Notamacropus eugenii: one gene and its partners. The protein of the gene in region 1 interacts with the protein of each later gene in a pairwise test. Links are inferred from orthologs where the notes say so. Each region holds a gene or a part of one and is shown on either strand. Other genes may lie near its edges. The genes, in order: PKNOX1, NUP58 and PBX2.

Evidence for each region.
Region 2: the proteins of PKNOX1 (region 1) and NUP58 interact in binary tests that used the Homo sapiens proteins (3 or more experiments, as listed by UniProt). The link is inferred for Notamacropus eugenii from reciprocal best matches to the Homo sapiens genes PKNOX1 and NUP58.
Region 3: the proteins of PKNOX1 (region 1) and PBX2 interact in binary tests that used the Homo sapiens proteins (3 or more experiments, as listed by UniProt). The link is inferred for Notamacropus eugenii from reciprocal best matches to the Homo sapiens genes PKNOX1 and PBX2.

The regions. Positions count from the first base shown.
Region 1 is NC_092876.1:415,901,909-415,910,330, reverse strand, and holds the start of PKNOX1 (homeobox protein PKNOX1), read left to right. Parts: upstream 1-4,930; 5' UTR 4,931-5,032; intron 5,033-8,422. UniProt on the Homo sapiens protein: Activates transcription in the presence of PBX1A and HOXA1.
Region 2 is NC_092876.1:192,733,624-192,741,332, forward strand, and holds the start of NUP58 (nucleoporin p58/p45), read left to right. Parts: upstream 1-4,261; 5' UTR 4,262-4,501; coding exon 4,502-4,611; intron 4,612-7,709. UniProt on the Homo sapiens protein: Component of the nuclear pore complex, a complex required for the trafficking across the nuclear membrane.
Region 3 is NC_092873.1:85,935,518-85,943,295, reverse strand, and holds the start of PBX2 (pre-B-cell leukemia transcription factor 2), read left to right. Parts: upstream 1-4,139; 5' UTR 4,140-4,439; coding exon 4,440-4,660; intron 4,661-5,560; coding exon 5,561-5,634; intron 5,635-5,963; coding exon 5,964-6,211; intron 6,212-6,311; coding exon 6,312-6,502; intron 6,503-6,654; coding exon 6,655-6,790; intron 6,791-6,999; coding exon 7,000-7,153; intron 7,154-7,536; coding exon 7,537-7,625; intron 7,626-7,778. Other genes in the region: GPSM3 (G-protein-signaling modulator 3), read left to right, coding at 1,437-1,484, 1,664-1,763, 2,024-2,220, 2,541-2,678. UniProt on the Homo sapiens protein: Transcriptional activator that binds the sequence 5'-ATCAATCAA-3'. Activates transcription of PF4 in complex with MEIS1.

The DNA of each region.
Region 1 (8,422 bases):
TAAAGAGATATTTTGGTGGCAAGGAAATTTAAGACGCAAAACAGAGACAAAAGAATGACTCCAGAACATCATAAAAAATACAACTTGGGCAAAATAATAATTATTATAGCTGACTTTTAAATAGCACCTACTATGTGTCCAGGGGAGAACTAGCACCATTGGGGTGAGAGATTACTGAGCCCTATTCAGAGCTGCTCCTCTACCTTTGGTGTCCACCTTTTTCACCCAACTCTTACTTGTGGCTCTAAGAACCTGTAGCTTGCTAACCAGTTACACCGAATAAAACCATTTTGGCAAATGAGCTAAAGCAGGTTGAGGGTAACCAACAAATGTCAGACCTGGCGGTGAGTTAGAGGGATGTCTGCTCCAAGCATATGAAGACTTCTTCCTGGAAGAATGGGTAGAAGGGAACAATTTGTTCCAGCAACCATGAAGGCAGCTAAAGTAGGCACTGTGGGGAACACAGAACTTGGTCAGATATCACAAACACCAAAGTCATTCACTGCATCCTGGGCCATCGTTAGTCTTCCTGACCTTTGCCTTGCCATTGGACTTCAATGACTCAGGAAAAGAGAATAAAGCTGAACTCTTCCACACTTAAGTCCAATTCATGCACAAGTCAAGACATGGCCATTATGTTTTTGGTCCTCTTTGAAAATGAAGGAGGAGCAACTATGTGCCAGGCACTGTGCTAAGTGCTGTGTAATTATTATCTCATATGATCCTCACAACCATAGGTGATAGATGTTATTATAATCTTCATTTTACAGATGGGGAAGCTGGGGTAAGTAGAGGTTAATTGACTTGTCCAAAGTCAAATAGCTGGTAAGTATCTGAGCCTGGATTTGAACTCAGTTATTCCTGACTCCAGTGTTTGGTAAATACAAAGTCTCTAGTTACTAGGGGAAAGACTCACTATTTGATAAAAACTACTGGGAAAATGGGATAGCATTCTGGCACTTATTAGGTTTAGACCAACCACTTATACTATATAACAAGTTGGGATCCAAATGGATACATGACCTAGATAAAAAGTTACAATATAAACAAATCAGAGGAACAAGGAAGAAATTACTTTTTAGATTCATGTGCAGGGGGAAAGTTTGTGACTAAATAAGTTGTCACAGAAGATACAATGGATAATTTTGAGTATATAACATTTAAAAGTTTATTTTTTAACAAATCTAGAAGGGAAGCAAGCAATTAGGAAAAAAATCTTTAACAAATAAAAGTCTTATATACGAGATACATAAAGAACTGATTCAAATTTATAAGACTAAGAGCCATTTCCCAATAGATAAAAGGTCAAAGTATGACCTGGCCATTTTCAAAGGAACAAATCCATCCTATCAATAAAATATAAAAAATATAAAAAATCATTAATAGAAAAATGCAAACTGAAGCAACTTTGATGTTTTGATTCACCTATCAGACTGGCAAAAATGATAAAAGAGGAAAATGGTGAATATTAGAGGGGTTGTTGGAAAATAGATATACTTGTACAAATAAAAGGATCAGATTATTTGATTTTTGTCAATCTTTATGCACTTGTTTAATGTTTTCTAGAAAAAAAACTATGCAAATGTCACAAAATTTAATTCATCTTACTTTTCCTCAGTTCAAACTGTAAAAGTATCAAAAATCACCTTCAATGCAAAACTAATGAATGTAAAAATGTTTTAGCAGGATTTGCTTCATATGATAATTAATTGCATTAATATATTTCCTGGGGCATATCTTGAATTAGTCCTCTTAATGAAGAATAATCAACAACGAAAATAATGATAACAACACTTGTGCAGCTATTCCAGAAGGCAATTTGCCCAGAAAGTTACCAGCCTGTTGTATGACCCTTCTATAACACAAGTTGGCCTATGCCCCAAAGAGTTCAAAGAAAGTGGAAAATGACCTATATGCACAAAAATAGCAGCTCTTTTTGTAATGGCACAGAACCAGAAACTAAGGGGGCATCCATTAATTGGAGAATGGCTGATCAAATTATAATATGTGAATGTAATGGAATACTACTGTGTTTTAAGAAATGTTAAAAAGGAAGTTTTCAGAAAAACTTGGGAAGATTTGTGCGAACTGAGGAGAATCAGGAGAATAATTTATGCAATAACAACATTGTAAAGATAAGCATTGCAAGATCTAAGAACTGTACTCAATGCAATGCCCAACCACTATTCCAGAGGACTCAACAGTGAAATGTGCTATCTACCTCCTGACGCAGAGGTGACGTACCCAGAGTGTAAAGTAAGATAAATCTTTTGAACATGACCAATGCATGAATTTGTTTTGCTCGAGTATGAATATTTATTATAAGGGTTTTTCTTTCTTTTTTCATGAGGTGGGGAGGTGGAAGGGAGAGAGATGAATTTTCATCGAGTGAAAATTTTTTAAAAAAATAATATCAATATATAAAGAAAATATATGTCCAACAAAAGCAGTGGTCATTGTGTTGGAGTAGATCCAGTATAGAGTTCAAGTTGAAGATCTGTTACCCATAAATGGTGATGTCCTTCAGGTTTGTTGTTTACTGGTAGTTTAGAAATACCGAAGAGGTTGCTAATAGAGATAAATAACCTCTCAGTCTGAAAATCCACAAAGAAAAGATCCAAATGGATAAAGAATGTCTATTGCCTAAGTTATGACGTTTTTATGAACAAACTACAAAGTTTGTCTATCATCATATATATCTGAAACATTGTTTTCATGGACAATTAATTACATAGGCTAAGAATTGAACAGGAAGAGGAGAGCAGTCTGTATAGTCTTTGAAAAATTGCAAAGCACCTTTAATGGTCCAAACTTCTCCTAAAAATAAAGTTTCTTCTTTTTAATACTAACATTCTATTAGTGTCGCTGCATGGAAATGAGATATTGGATAAACAGTTCCTGAATAATAACATTTTATTTATATAGCTTTTTAAGGCTTGCAAAGCACTTTATATTACAGTTGAAAATAAATATCACAAAAGGCAATGAAGAGACACATGGTAGATGTAAACACATAGCAACAAATGAAGAACTTCAAAGAGCAATAATAAAAATTGTCATCAAAGAAATGTGTGCTAGGGAAAGATAGTCACAAAGTGAGATCAAGCCATTCTTGGTGGAATAAGAGGGCTCCGCAGGTAATCTTTGTAGTACCATCAAGCCAAAGTAAAGATAGCTTCCCCCTTTTGGTGAATTTATGGAAGGACATAGATAAGTACTGAACAGGATGGGCAAGCATTTGTGTAATCTGCACCCCTGAAGAGAATTTCCAAATTAATGAGATCATACATCCATTTGAGCAACTGAGTTAACATAAAATATTACCTTTTCTTTCAAGAAAACCAACTTCACAATTACAAGCATAGAGATTAAGAGTTTCCATGCATTAGACAGCTAGATGGCACAGTGGATTGAGTGCTTGTCCTGAAATCAGGAAGATCTGAGTTTAAATTCTTAGACACACACTAGCTGTGTGACTCGGAGCAAGTCACTTAATCTCTGTTAGCCTTAGTTTCCTCAAATGTAAAATGGTAATAATATTAGCACTTACCTTCTAGGGGTATTGTGAGAACAGTAAAACATCTATGCTTAATATTTGCTAGTTTCTTTCATTATAAATCCAAAATGAATTTACAGTGTGACATGGAAGCAAAAAAAAAAAAAATCTAAAGATGAAGATAGTCCAATTATACTTTACTTTGCTCAAACCACACACAGAGTGTTTCTAGGTCCCACCATTTAGCTAACACATTTATGAGCTGGATGGTGAATGACCTTGAGTTAAAAACATATGAGAATTTACTGAAAGAACTGAGAAAGGCTTAGCATAATGAGAAGACTTAAAGTGGCTTGATAGCTGTTTTCAAGTATTTGAGCCTGTAAAACGTAATAGATTTATTTTTCTTGATTCCACTAGATAGATATAGGAATACTGGGCAGAAATTGTAAAGAGGAAAATTGAGGCTTCGGTAAGGAAACCTTTCCTAACAATTTAGTGTCATTCAAAAGTGGAACAGGTTGCATTCCCATGGGGTGCTGCTCTTCCTCAAAGGGAGGTCTTTAAGCAATGACTGAACCATGGGTCCTATAAATGAGATTCTTTTCTCAGGTACAGACCGGACAAGAGGGTCATCGAGGTCCCTTTCAATTCTCAATCTCTGAAAAAGAAATGTAGCCCAAAGTCGGAAAAGGAAGGTTTGCAAAGTTCCTTTCGATTTTTGTGGTGTTGTGCAAAATCCCCCGAGCGATCACTCTGCTGTCAATTCGAGCCTTTAATTTTTAAGGAATCTGCAATAATTTGTAAAACGTTACTAGGTTAGTATGCATTACACCTTGGGCTGGTAATGGGATAGAAGAAAACTAATCAATTCTTTCTAGACGGTGAAATTCTGCGTTGGGTGGGGGGGAAGCAGGGTCTTGGTAGCAGTCCCTCCTCCCTAGTCCCCTCCTCCAACCTGGAGGAAGCCTTCATCCACCCAAGGATCATCTTCCCTCTACAGTTTTGCACAAATGCACGCGAGTCAAGAGATTACGATTAGAGAAGGAAGGGCACAGTGGTGGTCGGATAAAAAAGGGCTGGGGGAGGACTTCCAGTACCTAACCAACAAACACATTTTCAAAACCTCCCGAACTTTGGCCAGAGGGAGAGTGGGCGTGGCCAAAGGCTCCTCCCTCCCTGCGCAGCAAAAAAAAGCTAGGGGTGTGGCCTGTTCCTCTTAAGCATGGAGGCGGAGGGGGGAGGGGCAGGAGGGCCCAGAGAGGAAAGGCTGCGTTCCGAACTCCCTCCCAGCCCGCCCCTTCTCCCAGAGTCCCCACCCCCTGAGCGCAGACTCACGGGGTGGGAGGAGCTTCCCCTGCGAGGGCCCCGCCTCTGCTTTGAATATTGATAAGGTGAGCGTCGGCGTAGCCCTCCTTCCATTGAATGAGGCTGTGTCGCGTGGCCCGGCGTCGGCGTGACGGTTGGACGCGGGTGCGGCACTGCGGGTCCCGATTGCTGCAGCCGCTTGTCAGTGTGATGAAGATTGGCACCCAGGTAAGCTGTCACTCAACCGCTCCGCCGCCGCCGCCGCCGCCGCCGCCGCTCTCCGCCGTCCCTATCAATCACACCGGCCTCCCCGCCGCCGCCCCACTGCTGCCGCCCAGGCCGTTCGTGGGGAGAAGAGATGCCACTAAGCCGCGCCCAAGGGCATGGAGCAGGGACGGGGCAGGGGAGGGGGCCGCGTTTGAATGCAGGAGGGACCGGAAAGGCGGGGGGAAGAGGAGGCCGAGGGAGGCGGCCCACCCTGCAGTCTGGAAAGGGTTTCCACGGTGTTGGTGTCCATACGTGAGACTAGGAAGGAGGAAATTTCTGGAAGGAGCCGCCGCGCTGGGCCCCGCTGCGAGGCGCGCGCTCCTAAACCGTCCCTGGTGGAGCACTGCGCGCGCTCCTGCACGGGGCGGGGACAAGGGGGAGGCGGCCGGCAGGGGAGGGGGCATGGGGAGGCGCGCTGGGCCGCGCCGCGGGGTGTGGAGCTCGGCGGGGGGGAGCCGGGGAGGGCGGAGGAGGGGACGAGGCAGCCGGGGTGGAAGCGGGCGGCCGCTGGTCGCCGCCTGCAGTCGCGCGGCCTTCGGCGGCTCAGCTGAGGGGTGCCCGGGCCCGGGGTGGGGGGGAGAGTCTTCTTGAAGGTGTTGGGGAGCAGAGCCGTTTAAAGGGACCGGTGGGGCGCTTTGCTCCATCCCCGCTACTTCCACCGACCCAGACTGGTGCAGCTTTTTCGGCTTTGGGGTTTTGGGGGCGCGGGGGAGAAGGAGGCTGGAGGACGGCGAGGGCAGCGGGGAGAAGAGAGGTTGTATAATGGTGGAAGGAAGAGTTGAAGATGGCGGCTCCTCCTGCTCTCAGGATGGGGGCAGGGAAATCCCTGGAAGAAGGAGTAGGGGGTGGGAAGCACCTCCCTGGCTGGGTGCGCCTGTTTGGGGTGGACTTCCCCACCCCACCCCCCTTCAGCTGTGGTAGTGGTTGCAAGCGAGAGTCGTATCTGGCAAGCAGCAGGCTTTCCGATCCTGGCCGTGGGACAGAGTTCAATTTCGTTTGGCTTTTCTGTGGCCTTCCCCCCCATTGAGCTTAAGCCACTGACTTCCACGTGCGCTGTCGTGGGATGTGCAGTTTCTTCCCATCTCTAAAACTTGGAACTGGATGGGAAGCTGGAGACCAGAATGCCGTTAATCACTACAATAATGAAAATATACCAAGCCCTTGAAGAATCGACCATAAACATGAACACTTGCTTCATGATATTTTCTCCCTATTTCCCAAATACTGTTTTTTTAACCGAGTCAGATCATTAAAAACAAAGAATAATTTTTTAAAGATCTGTACCTCGTGTCTTACACAAGTTAAAATGTACAATAGACCCCCCTTTAAGGCTTAGATCTTGGAATCCAGGGAATGTCACTCACTAGTCAATGGAAGCATAGAAGGCCTGAGAGGAAGGTTAATAGATCTTTAGTTATGATTCCAAATAGAATTTGGCAATTTTCGTCATCCTTATAAGGCTGACTCAGTTAAACATTTCAGAACCTGCCATTCAATAATAATAGCTGACATTCGCATACATTTTGTAAAGTTTGTGAAGTACTTTGTTTGGTTCTTAGACCTTATAACAACTCTGAACTAGGCACTTACGGGTATTTGTATCCCCTTTTTACAGGTCAGAAAACTGAACTCAGAGAGGTATAAGTGACTTGAGTTGCCCCTTAGTGCTAATAAATATGGCAGATAGGATTTTTTAAACCTTGAGTCTTCCTGACGCCAAGTTTAGCACTCTTTGGACATTTGTCTTTTCCAACCTTTCCAAGGCCAGACCCTCCACATTTGCCCTCAGAATCAGCATCCTTTTCTTCTTCAGCTGAATCTGGTCCCATTGTCATCCTTTAGCTCTCTAGTACTCACCTTACCTATTGATCTCTTTTCTACTCATTACAAACCTGCTAGCTTCAACTCTTATCTTTAACTCCTCTCTGGACTATATCAACCCTGCAAACTGTTAATCCTTTTTAACTTCTTGAAAAATCCGAACTCACTTACGCGCTGCCTTCACTTGAAGTCTTCTCACGTCTCAGTTTGTTAGTATCTCGTTCCCTAACTTGTCCATTCAACAGAAACTTAAAAGTCACAATCTTTTAATTTTGTGAATAATTTTATTGATGTCTTTTGTTTTAAAATTTGTTTACTGTATCCTTTCCCTCTCAGTGGCCTCCCTTACAGAGTAAGGATGGGGACTGCACTTACGATTCTCTCTACCACTGCAGGTTCTCATCTTTTCAGCAACTTAATATTAGTGAGTTGTGACTTTAATGAAAGAGAAGAAAGGAAAAAAATTTGTAAAACTAGGTATCATATCAAAAAGATTGGATATAAGCAGTATTCCACACTCATGGTCCCCTCCTTTGCTAAAATGTAAAAAAAAAAAAAATAGGAAAGGTGTCTTTACATAGGTGTTATTTGATAGCCAGGCTTGGTCGATTGTTCTTTCCGTTTCTATTGTCTTTGTTTATGTTGTTTTCCTGGTTCTTTCCATCCTTTTTTGAGAAGCAGCAGCTGTACTTTGCATCAGCTAGTGACTTCTAAATTTGCAAAATATGATGACACTATGTTGGTTCTTATCCTTCTCCAACTTCTTTACAGAGTTTGACACTGTTGACTATTATCTCCTCTTGGATACTATCTCCTCTCTAGGTTTTTGAGATGGTGTGTTCTCTGTCTCTGTGTCTTTCTTTTACTCTCCCTCTCTCTCCTCCCCACTATTGTTTTCTAATTTCATATGTTTGTCCTCCATAGCATTTCATAGGTTTCCCCCAAAACTGTATGCTAGGACTCTTTATATTTTTTCTGTTGGTGACCTCATTAGCTCCCATATATTCAATTATTTTTATAAAGAGGAGACCCAGATCTAGATTATGTAGCCCTTAGTCTTTTTTTCAAGCTCCAGGTCAGTCCTGTATTAACTCTCTGCTCCCAAACCGAATTTATCCTCCCCCACCCACCACCCTATCAAAAGCTTCTAAAGGTCTAGAACATTTATTGAGAAAGGGCTCTGGACAATTAACTTGATTATTGGTAACTTTTAAGAGTAGAGTTTCAATATAGTAGGGGTCAGATGTCTAGGTTTAGAGAAGGGAAGAAGTGGTTTGGAGGTTGAGAAAGGGGGTGACTCAGTTTGATGGTGAAAGGGAAGAAAACTGAGGAAAAGTAGAGGTTTTTAAAGCTTGGGTGTAGTTCTGAGCATATTAGTAGGAAACAGAAAGGGAAGGAGCTAGACTGTTCCCCTTTTCCTCTCAAAAAAAAAAGCTTATTTTAAAAATAATAGCTGGCACTCTCTATTATCACCTCGAAAAAAGGGAGTGCATCACTCTGTAATAAAGAAAAACCAAAACTGGCCATGTT
Region 2 (7,709 bases), about 220 Mb from region 1:
TTCTGGAAGACAACCATGACATCAGGGAGGTGATACCATGAGATGCAAGTGAACTGGATTTAAGTGAGGGAGGGCTGTACAAAGTCACAAGCCTCACTATCTCCTCCTGAGTCATCTGGGTCCAGTGACAAGATATAGATCAGGACTATTGGAGATGGCCCTGGATGAAGTGGGAGACCTTGACCTTTTTAAGCTAAGATCTTTCCCAGGTCTGTTTAACTAAGGCAACACCCATTCAGTGATTAAGGCTAGGTAAGAAATGAGGCAAAGAATGGCCTCTTTCATGTAATCAAAAAAAAAAAAATCTATCTTGGGAGGGGAAGACCCTGAGGTTTTCTGGCCAAAACAGAAACAATTACTATTTACATTCACTCTGAGACAATCAGGGTCCAAACAATAACCAAGTGGGGCTTGGCCTGGGACCTATTCCTTGACAATCAATGAGAGCCAGAGTGAATTACGTTTAAGGCATTGTCCTTAAGCAAGAATTCTAGCCCTTAAATCCCAAGATATCTTGCTAGGTTTCAACCATCAAAATTTACATACTTTGGGCAAAGCACTAGCATATAAGGATATGATAACCCTAAGTGGACAGAGGGAAGGGAAAAAGGAAGGGAAAGGTTTAGGGAAGAGTAGAGGGAAAGCAAGGTGTGGAGGGAATTCTGGTTTTTATAATAATCAATATATGTGTAATGAATACACCAATAGATTTGATTTTGCAGAATTACCTTTTCTAGCTTGTGGGTCATTCACAATGCAGTTTGAACTCATAAATCAAACCTTGACAAGACTCAATCACTGGCATCCTTCTGCCTTCAGACCAAGCCTGTAGAACCTGTGACCCACTAAGTAATGACCCCCTGTAGCGTGGGTGAGATACCTACAGCAGGATATGCATATGCAGGTGTATTTTGAGGGTAAATTCGCAAAATATAAACTCTCTTCCTCAAAGATGAAACAAAGATAATTTATTCAGATACCAGAAAGCCAATTCCACCATAGTAACAATGAACTTTATACACATTACCAATAGAGAGCACAGCCATCCCCAAGCATTCCCTTGGTCAGGCCTCCCCACAAACAAGGCCCCTTAGGCAAAATGCCCCTCTCCCACCTAGGCTAGCTGCTCTGCTCTGACTGTTGTTGCCTCTCAGCTCCACCTTCCTCTCTTCCTGCTGTATCCTTCTTGCTCCACCCATTCAGCAAGCTCCTTCCACCATCAGCTCTATGAGACTCAAATTGTGGACTGGGCCAAAGCTCAAAGCAGGTCACATGGGCCTATTAAGGGGCAGGGAAGATTTTCAAATTCCCTTACCATTACACTCCCAAGACTTGGGCAGTGTTGCTCTTATAGGACTCCAAAATTGTGGGTTTATCCTGGGAAACTACTCTGGCCCTGGGAATGACTGTAATCCACCTTCTACTCTTCTACTCTTCCATCCCATTGGTGTTTTATGTATAGAATTTCTGTCATCACTTCAGCAAGGTGGAATTCTGATCAGGAGAATTCCTGATTTGCAAATCTACTCCTCATAATGAAACTAATTAATTAAATGGCTACCTGATTACTTGCACTTTGTCTCTAGTCTGCAGTTGCATCATTCTCAGATTAAAAAATGACTCAGTAAAATCCTGCTAACAAGGGAAAGGATGAAAGAAGGAAGGAGTTGCATTGTCCAACTGGAACCGGCCAGTTGGATCCCCAGTGAAGCAGCTTGGACTACTCACAAGTCACTGTTTATCCTTCATTCTCAAAGAGAACCATGACATCAGGAAGATGATGCTAGGACATGCAAATGAACTGGATTTAAGGGCTGTGCAAGGTCACCAGTCTCACTTTCTCCTCTGGAGCCATCTAGCCAGTGGCAAGATATAATCAAAATGACTGGAGATAGCCCTGAGGCTGGATGGGATAGTACAACAAAGGAAGTAATGTATAATCAGAGTGGACTGGTAGGTTGGGGTCAGGTTGTGAAGGACTTTAAAAAACCAAACAGAAGAGTTTATATTTTATCCTACTTACAATAGGGACCACTTAAGTTTATTGAGTAAGGGAATTACATCATTAGCTCTGCACTTAAGGATGATCAGTGGCATCTGAGGGAAAGAGGAACTGGATGGGTAAAGACTTGAAGCAGGGATAGCAATAAGGCAGTTTTTGCAATTGTTTAGCTGAGTAGTGATGAGGGCTGTTGACCTGAAAACTTGGTTAAAGAAAGGCAGCAGGCTAAATGCATACATTTTATGATTTAATTAATTAATTAATCAATTCCCTATTAAAGAAAACAGTTACATAATGCATTATGGAGCCAGAAATGTTCTGGCTACCCAGTGCAGAAATCTTCTGGCTTATATACATTTTGCCGTGAGAAAGGAACTCTCCTAGTTGAACAAATCATAAATTTAGTAAGACAAGACAATTAACAAAGTAATGTCAATCAAATGTTGAGATTCCAAGCTGGGTAAACATATGTCTTGGTGACAAGGAAGGAAATCCCACCCCAGATAACTGACACAGGAAGGGGCAAACAATGTTCAATAGAAATTATGACCTAAGATGTCTATATTTTCTTTACCATTAATATGCCATAACATAGTATGTGTCTATAGATAATAAGATACAAAGGAAAGACCCATTATTCAAGATATGTCATAGGTTAAAGGTCTCCAAGGAATGCAGAGTCAGCTTTGGCTGGCTTTTGCTGACATAGGAAGAGGCATTCTCTGAGTTTGCTTCAGAGAGAACAAAGAGATTATTCCAAAATTTTATATTAAACATTATCAGGGCCTAGACTAAGGTGGTGATTAAGAGTAGAGAGAAAAGGTTAGATGTGAGAAAAATGTTATAAAGGTAGAAATGGAAAGATCAAGCAACTCAATGGATATATGGGATGTGGGAGAGTGAGAAGCATTTCAACAGAAACAGTGAAGTTTGGAAGAAAGGTTGGTTTGGGGGAAAAGAGAATGACTACTATTTGGCACTAGAATTTAAGATGCCTACAAGATGCCTACATTTAAGATGCCTATCCAAGTTCAAAATGTCTAACAGGTAGTTGGTGATGTGGGACTAGAGATCCAGAGACTGCCTAGGGCTAGAACAGGGAGTTATCTGCATGGATGTTAAGGCCACTTGAGGAGCAAGAAGCTCCCTTTTCAATGGCTGTCCTCCAGGCAAGTAATGCTCTTCTACTTGATGTCCTCTATTAACTTATAAGCTTTTTTCTAGTCCCGGCTGAAATCCCATTTTCTTCAGAATGGCTTTCCTCTCTTAATTATCTCCAATTTATCTTGTATGTATCTGTTGCATATATAGTTGTATATATAACGTATATGTATGTGTATATATACATACATACACATACATGTATGTGTATGTATGCATGCATATATACATTTATATGTGTGTGTATATATATATATATATATATATATATATATATATATATATATATATATGTATATGGTTGTCTCCTCTATTAGACTGTGAGCACCAATAAAGCAGAGAATTTAATTGGTTTTGCCTTTCTTTGTATTCCCTGCACTTAGCAAGTGCTTAATCAATGAGAATTTTTTTTCTGGCCGTCCCCCAGGCATGGAACTCTCTCCTTCCTCCCCTCCCCCAATGGCCTCCTTGGCCATTAAAAGCTCCTCTTTTGCTGGAAGTCCTCCCCAGCCCTTCTTAATTCTAGCCACTCCCTTCTGGTATTTCCCATTCCTAGGCTTTGGATTAAGGGTTATGGAGCACCTTTCATTTTAGAACTGTCAAAAGGAGGATTCAGAAGGGCCAGATCCATAACGGAGGCCAGGCTTTCTATCCTAGCGAGTTTTTAAATTACCATTACCTCGCTCCTCAAAATCTTGGTAATTGTGCAAAAGTTCACTTACAGCCATTTTGACTCACTTTGTCCCCTCCTTTTTTTGTTTTAATAGGGACTGAAGTGGGCAACACCCACTAATTTATGACTTTGCCTCTTTTACTATCCCTGGCCGTAACACAACGTCTGGCACAGTGGGCGCTTAATCTTGATCGATGATTGATTGATTGGACCGCTCTGGGTCACAGCTTCCTCATCCGTAAAATGAGGTTTGAGTCAATGACACATAAAGTCCCTTCTTGTCTCTAAACCTGTGGTCCAACATTCTACCTGGGGCCCCGATGCCACATGTGCCCACGAAATCAATCACATTAAGGCGAAGGACAGGGCACTCATCGGAAGGGTGGCTCCGGACCGGCCCCTGTCCCTTTAAGACGCGCGCTGCTGACGTCGCCCGGCTTCCATCCCATGGTGCACCGCGGTGGCTCGGCCGGCTCCCGCGCGGCGGCGTGCGCGGGCCCAGGGGTTGCGGCCGCTCGCTCGCTCCTCTTTCCCGCCCCCTGGTTTGGACCGAAGTTCCCGCCCGTCCGCTAGCCCGGCCGGCCACTGTAGGGGGGATGCTGCGGGTTCCCCTTCGGCGCTGAGACGAGACACGAGGCCCAGGCCGCGGCTGGCCGGCTTCAACCATGTCCACGGGCTTCTCCTTCGGGACGGGGACGCTGGGCTCCGTGGGTACCGCCACGGGGGGCACCGGGACCACAGGAGGAGGGTTCTCCTTCGGGACGGGCACCTCCAGGTAAGCTATCTCCTCCCCGCCGCAGCCGCGCGCCCCTCGGCCCCGGCCCAGCTCGAACGCGGGAGCGTCTCGCGGGCCGGCCTCCCCACCTCCTCGGCCTGACGTCCGGCTCCTTTCTCGCCCCTCCTCCCAGGGCGGAGCCGGCGCCGCCCCTCCTTCCCCTCCCCCCTCGGAGGAGCCGCACTGTCCCCGCAGGGTTCCGCATCACCCAGGGGAGCTTCGCTCTTCTTCCTCGGCGGTCTTCACCTTGGGCTCTGGCGGCGCAGTGTGAGACCTCTGCGGGCTGCCGAGGGCTTGCGGGCGTGGAGGCCTAGGGATGGGGGCGAGGGGACTGAGCGCCGGATTAGAACGGCGGCTCTTTGTGTTTGCTTTTCTTTGTGAGCCCAGCGTTTGGGTAACACTTAGCCCGGTGCCCGGCCCGGAGAGAGCGCTTCTTCATCGTGGGCAGCGCCGGGGATACCGAGAAAGGGCAAAAAGTGGTCCCCAGAGACAGGTTCTTGGTGGTTCCAGGGGCTAGGGCCAGGATGCGTAGCCTTTTTTGTGCCCTTGGGCAGACTGGGGAAAGCTGTCGATTTCTTCTCAGAATGGTTTTACATGTGTAAAGTAAAATACACAGGAATGAATTTTTTCCACTCTCCAAGTTCACTTACACTTTGAAATCTGTCCTCAGATCCCAGGTGAAAAGCCTCTTCACTAGCAGATTGGATAGGGATTTGAATCCAGACTCTTTGGTTCTATATCAGATTCTGAAATTCTTAATATTAATGAAACTATTCTCTTAGTGGGTTTCATCGATGACTTCCAGGGCCCAGGAGCTTAGACTTCTTATTTGTACGGTGATCTTTCTAATTTGATAGATGTGTATAGAGAACTTCAAGCTTTGGAATTTTGAATACTTGAGTCCCAAGACCTACTGCTGACAGAGACTGGCGTTTTGACAAGTCACTTAACATCTCAGTGCCCTAGGCAGCTCTCCAGGAGTTTAAATTGAAGGGTAGGGTCTGAGTTTCCTATACCAATGAAATCATAGGTCCAGTCCCTACCCCTATATTAGGTGTAAGACAAAAAATAAAAAGGTATTATAATAATGACAATAGTTATCATTTATGCAGCATCTACTTTGGGCCAGTCACTATACTAAGGACCTTACAATTATTGCTTCATTTGATCCCCACAACAACCTTGGGAGGTAGGGCTGTTATTATTATCATTTGCATTTTACGGGCAAATAGAGGCTAAATAACTTGCACAGAATCCTCAGGGCTAGATTTGAACTCAGGTGTTCCTGACTCCAGGCTCACTGCTTTATTCACTGCTCCACTCTAGCTGCCTCCCATGAATAAATTGTTTAATATTTATCATTCATATTTTGCATGGCATAATGTTAATTTTACAGCATTTGGTATTTGTGATCCTTCTTTGTTTTTTGATGTTGTTTATAATATGTCACCACTGTATTCACACTTAGCTCAAACCTTAGACTTTGGAGTCATCTTTCACTCCCTGTCCAATCCATGATTTCCTGCTTCCCCACCACCAGATCCCATGCCATACCTTGTATATGCTTCTTGTATATCACTTATATTCTGCTTTATATTACATTTTAGACATGATTCAGGATCAATTTATATGTTGTAAGGCCTTGTCTAAACCAGTTGATCTACTATATTACATTTATTTGTTTAGGTGTCTTAATATGCCCTGTGAGATTATAGTTAGTTCCTTGGGGCCAGAGACTTAATACAACTTCTTCCATGAAGCCATGAGGTCTTATCTGATCTACCAGCTAGAAGTAGCTCCTTCATTTCCAGCTTCCTTTCTCTCTGATCTTTACTATGTATAGAGATTTCATAGAATACTAGAGCAGGAAGGGAGCTTAGTGATCTTCTAGTCTATTCTCATCCCTCTCCATAAAAAAACAGGCTCATTGAGGTTAAGTGACTCTCCCAAAGAGGTCACATAACCAGCAAGTACAGAACAGGTTTCCACATGCTTAGGCTAGTGCTGTATCCATTTGGTCTCTTTATTACATTCTAACCTGTTTTAGAGTTATCCTCCACGATCAGAATCTTAAGAGGGCATAGATTCATTTTTTTTCTTCCTTGTATCTCCAGCATTTACTGCCATTACTATTCTACATTTTGTTGCTCCTTGTTTTCAGTCAGATCTGACTCTTTGTGACCCTATATGGAGTTTTCTTGGCAAAGATACTGGAGTGGTTTGCCATTTACTTCTCTAGTTCATTTTACAAATGAAGAAACTGAGGCCAACAAGGTTAGGTAACTTTCCCAGGGCCACACAGCTAATAAGTGTATGAGGCCAGATTTCAGCTTGGGAAGATGAGTTTTCCTGACTTCAAATAGAACTCTGAATGCCTAGGTGTCCTTTTCTACTATATTCTGCAGAGCAAGTGCATAATACGTGTTCTTGAATTATCCCCTTTTGTTTTCTCCATAATGATTTGCCCATAGATATTCACTGAATAGATTTTGGTTGAATAAATACTAGAATTTTACCCAAGTTTAGACTGGAATTATTTACATTGTCTTTAGAATGCAAAATGTAAATTATTGGTTTAGCACCTATATTGAGACCACAACTAGACCTATGATTTCACTGGTATAAAGAACTGTCAGATGAAGAAATACGTACCAATGTAGGTCAACATTTTCTTTGCAACTTACGGCCTTGAGAGAGTTACCTGGAGCAGGGCTTCTTAAATTTTTTCCACTCAAGACCCCTTCAGTGCTTCTTAAAGCGCATGATATGGGACCACAGTTTAAGAAACACTGGCCTAGAGCATTGAGAGGCCAAATGATTTATCAAAGGTCACACAGCCAGAGGCAGCATATAAACTCAGGTCTTCCTCTCCAATTACATCTGTGATGCCATCTATTTAATAATTTTGTTCAGTGAGTTCTGGTTGCTTCAGATAGAGAGCCAGAAAAGGACCATAGTCAACTGAAATCAAAGTGATGGTCCCTAAAGTTAGAATTCTGAATCCTAATAAGGTTTTGACAGAGAGGGCTATTGTATATAAAATAAGAAAGAATATATAGATTGGATGAACACTGATATTTATCAAGTCTAAATGTTTT
Region 3 (7,778 bases), on another chromosome or scaffold:
CAAATTGGAATTCTTCATTCAATGTGGAGGCATCCAGGAGAGGGCAGGAAATTCCAAGACAGAAGAATTTCTGTTAAGTCATTTGGTCTCTCTGAACTTCAGTTTCCTCATCTGTAAAATGGGTATAAACCGTGAATGAGTAGCACCTTCCCTTCTCTTCCCTGCCCTCCCCTCCTGTTCTGCACAGGGTAAGGTAAGCTCCATGGCCAAAAGCTGCCTTTTTTCCTTTGGGTTTACTGGCTACATTTCTTGCTCAAAGATCAAGCCTTTAACCTAATTCATTCTGGAGCTCATAGACTAGACAAGTCCCCACCCACCTAGCACAGAGTGGATGCAATAACTAAATGGTAACTGTTTCTCTTTTACCCAGGAACCCTGAGGGTCTTCCTCTCCCAGTTTGACTTTTTTTTTTTTATTAAAGGGGCCATCTCTTGAGTAACTTAGAGAAGCCTATTCATTGAGTAGGTGTATCTCACTCAAAGTAAGATTGTGCTAAGACCTTAGCCTGAAAGGGCCTGGGTCTTCCATTGCATCCTGGGCTATCTCCAGTCTTCCTGCTAAATATCAGGCCACTAGCCCCAGAAGGCTCTGGAGGAGTAAGTGAGGCTGGTGACCTTGCACAGCCCTCCCTCACCCAAATCAAAGTCAACTGCAAGTCATATCTTCATCTTGATGTCGTGGTCTTCTTTGAGAATGAAGGACAAATACAACACAATATAATATTGGCACTCCCTACATCAAGATTTGTTTTTGTTTTTTAATGAAAGAAAATGATAGATAAATGTGAAGTATCACCATTAAGATCCTCCAGCCTCCCAGCAGGAAAGAACCTCCCCTAGCCCCTAGGTGGATATGGGCAGGGGGAGTGGGGGTGGGGGGTTTTACAGAGAAAGAATCTTCTATAAGGTCAAGGCTATTCCCTAAGGGAGGGGAAGGACTGAAGGGGGGGAGGAGTAAAACCACTTCCTCTACAGCTAGTTCCTGTGTTGACAGAGTCAGCTAGGAAGAACAGACCTGTTTTGGGGGGAGGTGTAAAGAGAAAGAGGGAGCAGTGCTGAAGACTGATAGAGTCTCCCCAATAGCTATTTCTCTCCATCAACATTCATTTCCCCAGCACTCTCAAACTGACAAAAGCAGATTTTATTGTATCCCTCACACTCCCTTGGGGATAAGAGACTGAGAGTAGTAGAGGGTGGAAAAGGGGAACAGGAGGAAGTTGGGGGGGAGCGTCACCAAGAGCGATGGGTGGGGCTTAGGATGGGGGGGGGGGCGATAACCCAGAACCCAGCTTCCTTCTTAGAACCCAGGCATCTGGCCCTCAAGCTCTCCCCCCCCAACCCTATTCCATCTCTTGCTACCTTCAAGGGCTCAGGTGTCCAAGCCTACAACCATCACTACTGCCTCCAACCCCCTTCCCACCTCCCCTGTTAAAGGGGATGGAGACAGAGAGACTTCAGGAAGAAGAGGAAGATGAGATTGAGCAGGTGAGTAGGGGAAAGTTGGGAGGAAGGTATAAAGAGGAAAATAGGTACAGGAGAACAAATTAAGACTCTTAGAAATACAGAGTATACAGACAGACAAACAGAATGGGTTGGAGTTCCAAGCCAGGCACTTTGTCTTGCCTCGGGATTAGTCTATCTGTGACCCTATCTATCATTCTCAGAGCTTTCCCCCAGATGATCAAGGCTGGCCCCCCCTGAATACTATCAGACCTTGGAGATCGGCACCCCCAACCCCTCCCCATTCCAGGGACCAAAACACAGGTAACTCAACTATTACTTCTCTGTGCTGCTTTAATCATGACCCCTGACCTCATTTCTGGCCTTAGTACTAATCTCAGACTCAATTCTAACCCCTGCCTCATTTCTAACTGGCAGGCTCCCCATCACCCCACTTCCCACCTATAAAGAGTGTGCCTTTTACAGCCCTCCAATATTCAATCCTCCCCCACCATATTTCTTACTGCTTCTCATGTCCCTATCTCCTTAACCTCTGACCATCACCCCTACACATATTCCCCCAGCCCTAGGACCCCGCTCGGCCTCCATGCTCTCCTTGCAGACAGAACTCTTCCTAGACTTAGTAGCAGAAGCTCAGTCCAAAAGGCTGGAAGGACAGAGAGCCACCTTCCATACTCCCCCTGGCTCCCTAGCCACATCTGCCCAAGTCCAGGTTACAGAGGACAGAGACCAGCTCTACAGCACCATCCTCAGTCACCAGGTGAGACCAGAGCCTTCCTCAATTCCCTTAGGTATCCAGTTCCATCCTGCCCCTCAGTCCCCAGGTTCCCTTTCATACAGCACCCATTCCTCTTACAGACCCAGGAATCTGTAACACCCCCACCCATTCTACCCATCTGTCCTTATCCCAACTTTTGTTTCCTTCAGAGAGAAAATCAGGTATCTAGCCCCAACCAGTTCCTAGATGCTCCCCTACACAATCACCCAACCCCCCAACCCCAGGACATCATTCCCTCAGGATCTTAGGCATTCAATTTCCCCTCCCCTGCTCACCTTACCTCTGCCCCTCCTTCTCCCCAGTGCCAGCGCATTGAAGCTCAGCGGTCAGACCCGCCCCTTCCACCAGGAGGGCAAGAGCTCCTGGAGCTGCTGTTGAGGGTGCAGGGAAGTGGTCGAATGGAGGAGCAAAGGTCCAGACCTCCTACACATACCTACTGAGCTCTCCCCTCCCCTCCTGAAGTTGGGGGTGGTGGAGTAAGGGACTGAGAACACTGCCTAAGAATTGTCTCAGCGAAGACCTGTCTCCAAAGGACACTAGGGACTGCAGAAGGCAGTGAACACCTCAGAATCAACTCCCCACCTCCATTCTTATGTGTGGGTGTACTGATGCTGAGACCCCTAAACTTTCCCCACTGAGGCCAGGACACCTGGAATTTCTCTAGGAGAATCAAGATTGGGGATAGGACGGACAAAGAAGAACAAGGACATTGTGGAGGGGGAAGGGGGTGAAAAGGGGAAATCTTTGTAATTTAAACTTTCCCTGAATGACACCTACCCACTTCCGTCCCACTTGGATCTGAAGTGCTGTGGTCAGAACAAAATTCAGTCTTAAGGAATGACTGAGACTATCTGGATCCGACCAGACGTACTGCCAGAAAATGTCAGTATCCCAAAGGTTTCACTGCCCTCCTAAGAAATTCCCAGGGGAAGTGAAAATGGGACAGCACCTCTACACCTTACCCCAGGTCTGTACCCAAGCTGAAGACTTCAATGCCCCCTGAGGGGGATCAATTTCCATCTACACTCCCTCCCTGCCTTCAGAGAGGCCAAGACCTTTGAGGGGATAGAGTGCTGCCCTAGATAAACAACTGTGGCCTCTTTCCCCCTTCCCAGCACCCTCCTTTCCCTTCAGTGAGGGGAGGGGTTTGGGAACTCTACCATCTTTCTCATCTTTTGAGAGGATGGGATGAAGGGGGAGATCCAAAGCCCGAGTGATCAGAGATATCACACCCCTTCTCCATCCTATCTTCCCAGATGTTTGATGTTTCAATTTTGTGAATAAATTTAATTTCCTTCTCAACTGAAGACTGGTGACTAAGTGAGAGGGGGGGGTGGGATCATTGGGGAGAGTAGCAAAGGGGAAAGGCCTGAGGCAAGGGCTGGGGAGCTCTCCTTTGTCTGGCTGCCGGCCAGCTCACCTCCCAGGCTGGTTAATTACTGGCTCATTAAGCATCGGCTGGAGACCTCCCTAATTACATGCCCACCCCCTCCCCTCCATGCCCGGCTCCCACTCTCCTGGTCTTAATTAAGTAGAACAGGGAGGGGAGTCTTTAGGACAAGAAATATGAACGGAGCTGTCCAAGAACCCAGGCATCTGGCATTCTAGCCCCTGCCCTTCTCAGGATTCAACTGCTACCCCTCCCCCTCCGGATCCTGATTTCCTTCCCCACTGAAGACCAAGATAAGCCCCAGACCCACAGTTTTCTCCTTTCCATCCTTCTCCCTAAAGAACCTTCTCCTCACACCATCTCCCTCTCCCCTCATCTCCTTCTCCTCCTTCTCCTTCTCTTCCCCCCCTCCTCCTCTTTGGTCTCCGTTCTTTGGTCTATCTCTCCGCCCACAACTCCTCCCTGTTCCTCCTCTCCTCTCTCCTCCTCTTCCTCCTAGTCTCCCCTCCCCCAGCCTCCCCCCTCCTCCCTCCCTCTCTCTCACACACACCCCCGCCTGGGCCTCCTCTCTCTCCGGCTCCATTTTCTCCGCCGCCGGGGGCCGGGGTCTCCTCTGGGGGGGCCCAGCCCATACCCCAGAGCTCCCCCCAAGGCAGGGACCCCCCAGGAAGCCAGGAGAGGGGGAGACAGGAAGGGGTGGTGGCAGTAGGAGCATCGGCCCAAGCAATTTTTCAAGAAAAGGGGGGAACCCGGGAGAGAGGAGGGGCTGATAAGGGAGGGGGCTCCGGGGGGAGGGGGGCCCCCCCCAGCCATGGACGAAAGGCTACTAGGGCCACCCCCTCCAGGCGGGGGCCGGGGAGGCCTGGGACTAGTAGGTGGGGAGCCAGGGGGACCTGGGGAACCTCCCGGTGGTGGAGAACCCGGAGGCGGGGCTGGGGGGGTCCCAGGAGGACGGGGAAAGCAGGACATCGGGGACATCCTGCAGCAGATCATGACCATCACCGACCAAAGCCTGGATGAGGCCCAGGCCAAGTGAGTCCCCCCCAAACCCTTCTCCAAATCTGAGACCTCTTCACACAGATGGGCTTTTGGGACCCTCCCCCATATCCCTGACCCCCTACAGTCCTCTCACTGTCTTTTGGTCCTTTCTAAGTCCCCCTAATTACTTTACCTCCTCCCCACCCCCTTACCCTAAGGAACTCTTCACCTCCTTAGACTTGCCCTCCACAATCTCTTTCGGTGCTTGTGAACTCCCTAAGTGCTCAGTCCCACTCCTGACCTCTCAGTAACCCCTAAACCCCTTGAAATAACCAATCCTTCAAGGTCTCCTTTTAGTACCCAGTCTGGGATTTTTCTCTTCACAGCTTCTAGTACCCCTACCCGCAACCACCCCCAGATCACTTGGTCACAATCTCCTGGTCACCCCGACCCTATCATTTTATCTAGATGCAGAAAGAATCCCCAAACTTTCCCACTTGAGCTTCCCTTGCTCCTCTACTGTTAGCTCCCTACAACTATCCCTTCCCCACAGTCCCCCTGTAATATCCTCCTAGTGACCCCACAAACTCCTCACCTCATTCCGTGCCCTGGCCCCCAAATATATTTTTCCATACCCCTTTGAAACTCATTCCCCCATGTTCCAGAACACAGTTTTCAATCTGTGGAGACATTTTTTTCAGTCCTCCCATGACACATATCACACACACACACACACACACACACGCATCCCTGGCAGACTTGGTCCCCTGCTCTGGCCCTCTGGTCTCTCAATTCCTTTGCCCCCATCCAACTTCTTTCTACCTTTCTTATTTCTCCCTGGAGTTCTCTCTCTATTCTTGGCCCTCACATTATTCAGTCTCTTCTCTAACACCCACAAAGCTCTTGAACTGACTCTTCTATCTTCCATCCCTCTTTTTTCCCCTCCTCCCCCAGGAAACATGCCCTGAATTGCCACCGAATGAAGCCTGCTCTTTTTAGTGTCCTATGTGAGATCAAAGAGAAGACTGGTATGTATGCTCCCCTTTCGCACTCCTTTCCTGGAAATGAAATCCATCTCACAATAGAGGTAGGGGAAACAGGGGGGATGTCTGGGTCCCCAACAAGTGGGAAGGTAGTTATGCAGAGTTCCCCAAGGAAAAAAAAAAAGAGCCTGCTGAGTAGTTAGATACCATAGACCTATAGCTAAAAAGAGTTCCCAACCCCCTCATTTTACAGATGAGGTAACTAAGGCCCAGGAAGGTTAAATAAAATTGCTTAAAGTTACACAGATAGTAAATGTGGGAAGTGGGATTTGAACCTACACCCTGAAGCCCCAATGCTTCATCCTGCATGGCAGGCCTCAGTATCCGAAGCTCACAGGAGGAGGAGCCTGTGGACCCCCAACTGATGCGTTTGGACAACATGCTTCTGGCAGAAGGGGTGGCAGGACCAGAGAAGGGAGGAGGGTCTGCAGCAGCTGCAGCAGCAGCGGCAGCCTCTGGTGGTGGAGTATCTCCTGACAACTCCATTGAGCACTCTGACTATCGAAGTAAACTGGCCCAGATCCGCCATATCTACCATTCTGAGCTGGAGAAGTATGAACAGGTACAGAGAAGCCTTTTGGGCCCAGGTCAAGGAGAGGGGCATTGGGAGGCTATGGATGGGACTCCACATACTAATCTGATGCCCCTGGTTATCCACCTAGGCGTGTAATGAGTTCACTACTCATGTGATGAACCTGCTTCGAGAACAGAGCCGCACACGGCCCGTGGCTCCCAAGGAGATGGAGCGTATGGTTGGTATCATCCACCGAAAGTTCAGTGCCATTCAGATGCAGCTCAAGCAGAGCACATGTGAAGCTGTCATGATCCTTCGCTCACGTTTCCTGGATGCCAGGTGGGGATTTTGAAATCTAGGATCCTAGCCCATGCCTCTTTTACTAGCCCTCTCCCCCTTATAGACCACCACCAACTGTCCCCCTCCCCACCACCACAATTCCATCTCTTAGGGCTCCAGCATTCTCACAAACCCTCTCCATTTCCCTGCAGAAGAAAACGCCGTAACTTCAGCAAACAGGCCACTGAGGTCTTAAACGAATATTTCTACTCCCACCTGAGTAACCCTTATCCCAGTGAAGAGGCCAAGGAGGAGCTCGCTAAGAAATGTGGGATCACTGTCTCCCAGGTAATGGTGTCAGGTACTGTGGCATGAAAGGCTTCTGTATCCCAAGGAGAGAGGGAGAAGAATAGAGGAGAAGAATAAGAAGAACTGAGAGGAAGGTTGTCAGTTCTTGGAGGGATGGAGGAAAGCAGGGCAGTCAAGTGGGGGTGGGGGGGGTCTTCAGAAAATGCTATTCTCCCTCTTAGCCCTCTCCTCTCCCTTGCACTCCAAAGGTCTCCAACTGGTTCGGCAACAAACGGATCAGATATAAGAAAAATATTGGCAAGTTCCAGGAAGAAGCAAATATCTACGCAGTGAAAACTGCCGTGTCTGTTACTCAAGGGGGGCATAGCCGTGCCAGTTCCCCTACACCTCCCTCTTCTGCAGGTTGGACCTCTCATCATTCCTTTGGTTTGCACTCCTGAATTTGTTTGCTTTCTTCTCCTGTCTGATCTCAGTTAAAGCAGAAAGGGACCCTATCTGGGTGCAGGTGACCAAAATGGGATGGTTTGGAACATATCACAGCCATCTTAGAGAACTTGCCCCTTGCCTTCGCTTCTAAACAGAGAAGGTCCATGGGAAGGGTCCATTTGGAGGGAAGGAGAAGATGAAATCTTCCCTTTCTGTACTGACAATGTTTTTTGCCAGTTCCTTGCATATGGAAGTAAACTTCCTAGGGAAATGGTTCTGTGGGGGATCCTGGGTAGAAGAAATGGAATCCAGATATCTGAGTTTCCCATCTTCCTCTCTATTCTTCTGCTTCCTCATAGGCTCTGGTGGTTCCTTCAACCTCTCAGGATCTGGAGACATGTTCCTAGGGATGCCCGGGCTCAATGGAGACTCCTACCCCAGCTCCCAGGTCGGTTGCACAGCATAAGGCTCCTTCTCAATACCGCGCCCCCTCCACACTCCCTGGAATATGCACACATGCATTTCACCTTGTAATTCTAGGGTCTAAGAACCATTTCTCTTGCCCTGGTCTCCCTTTTCCTATGGGAAAATGGCTTTTGCA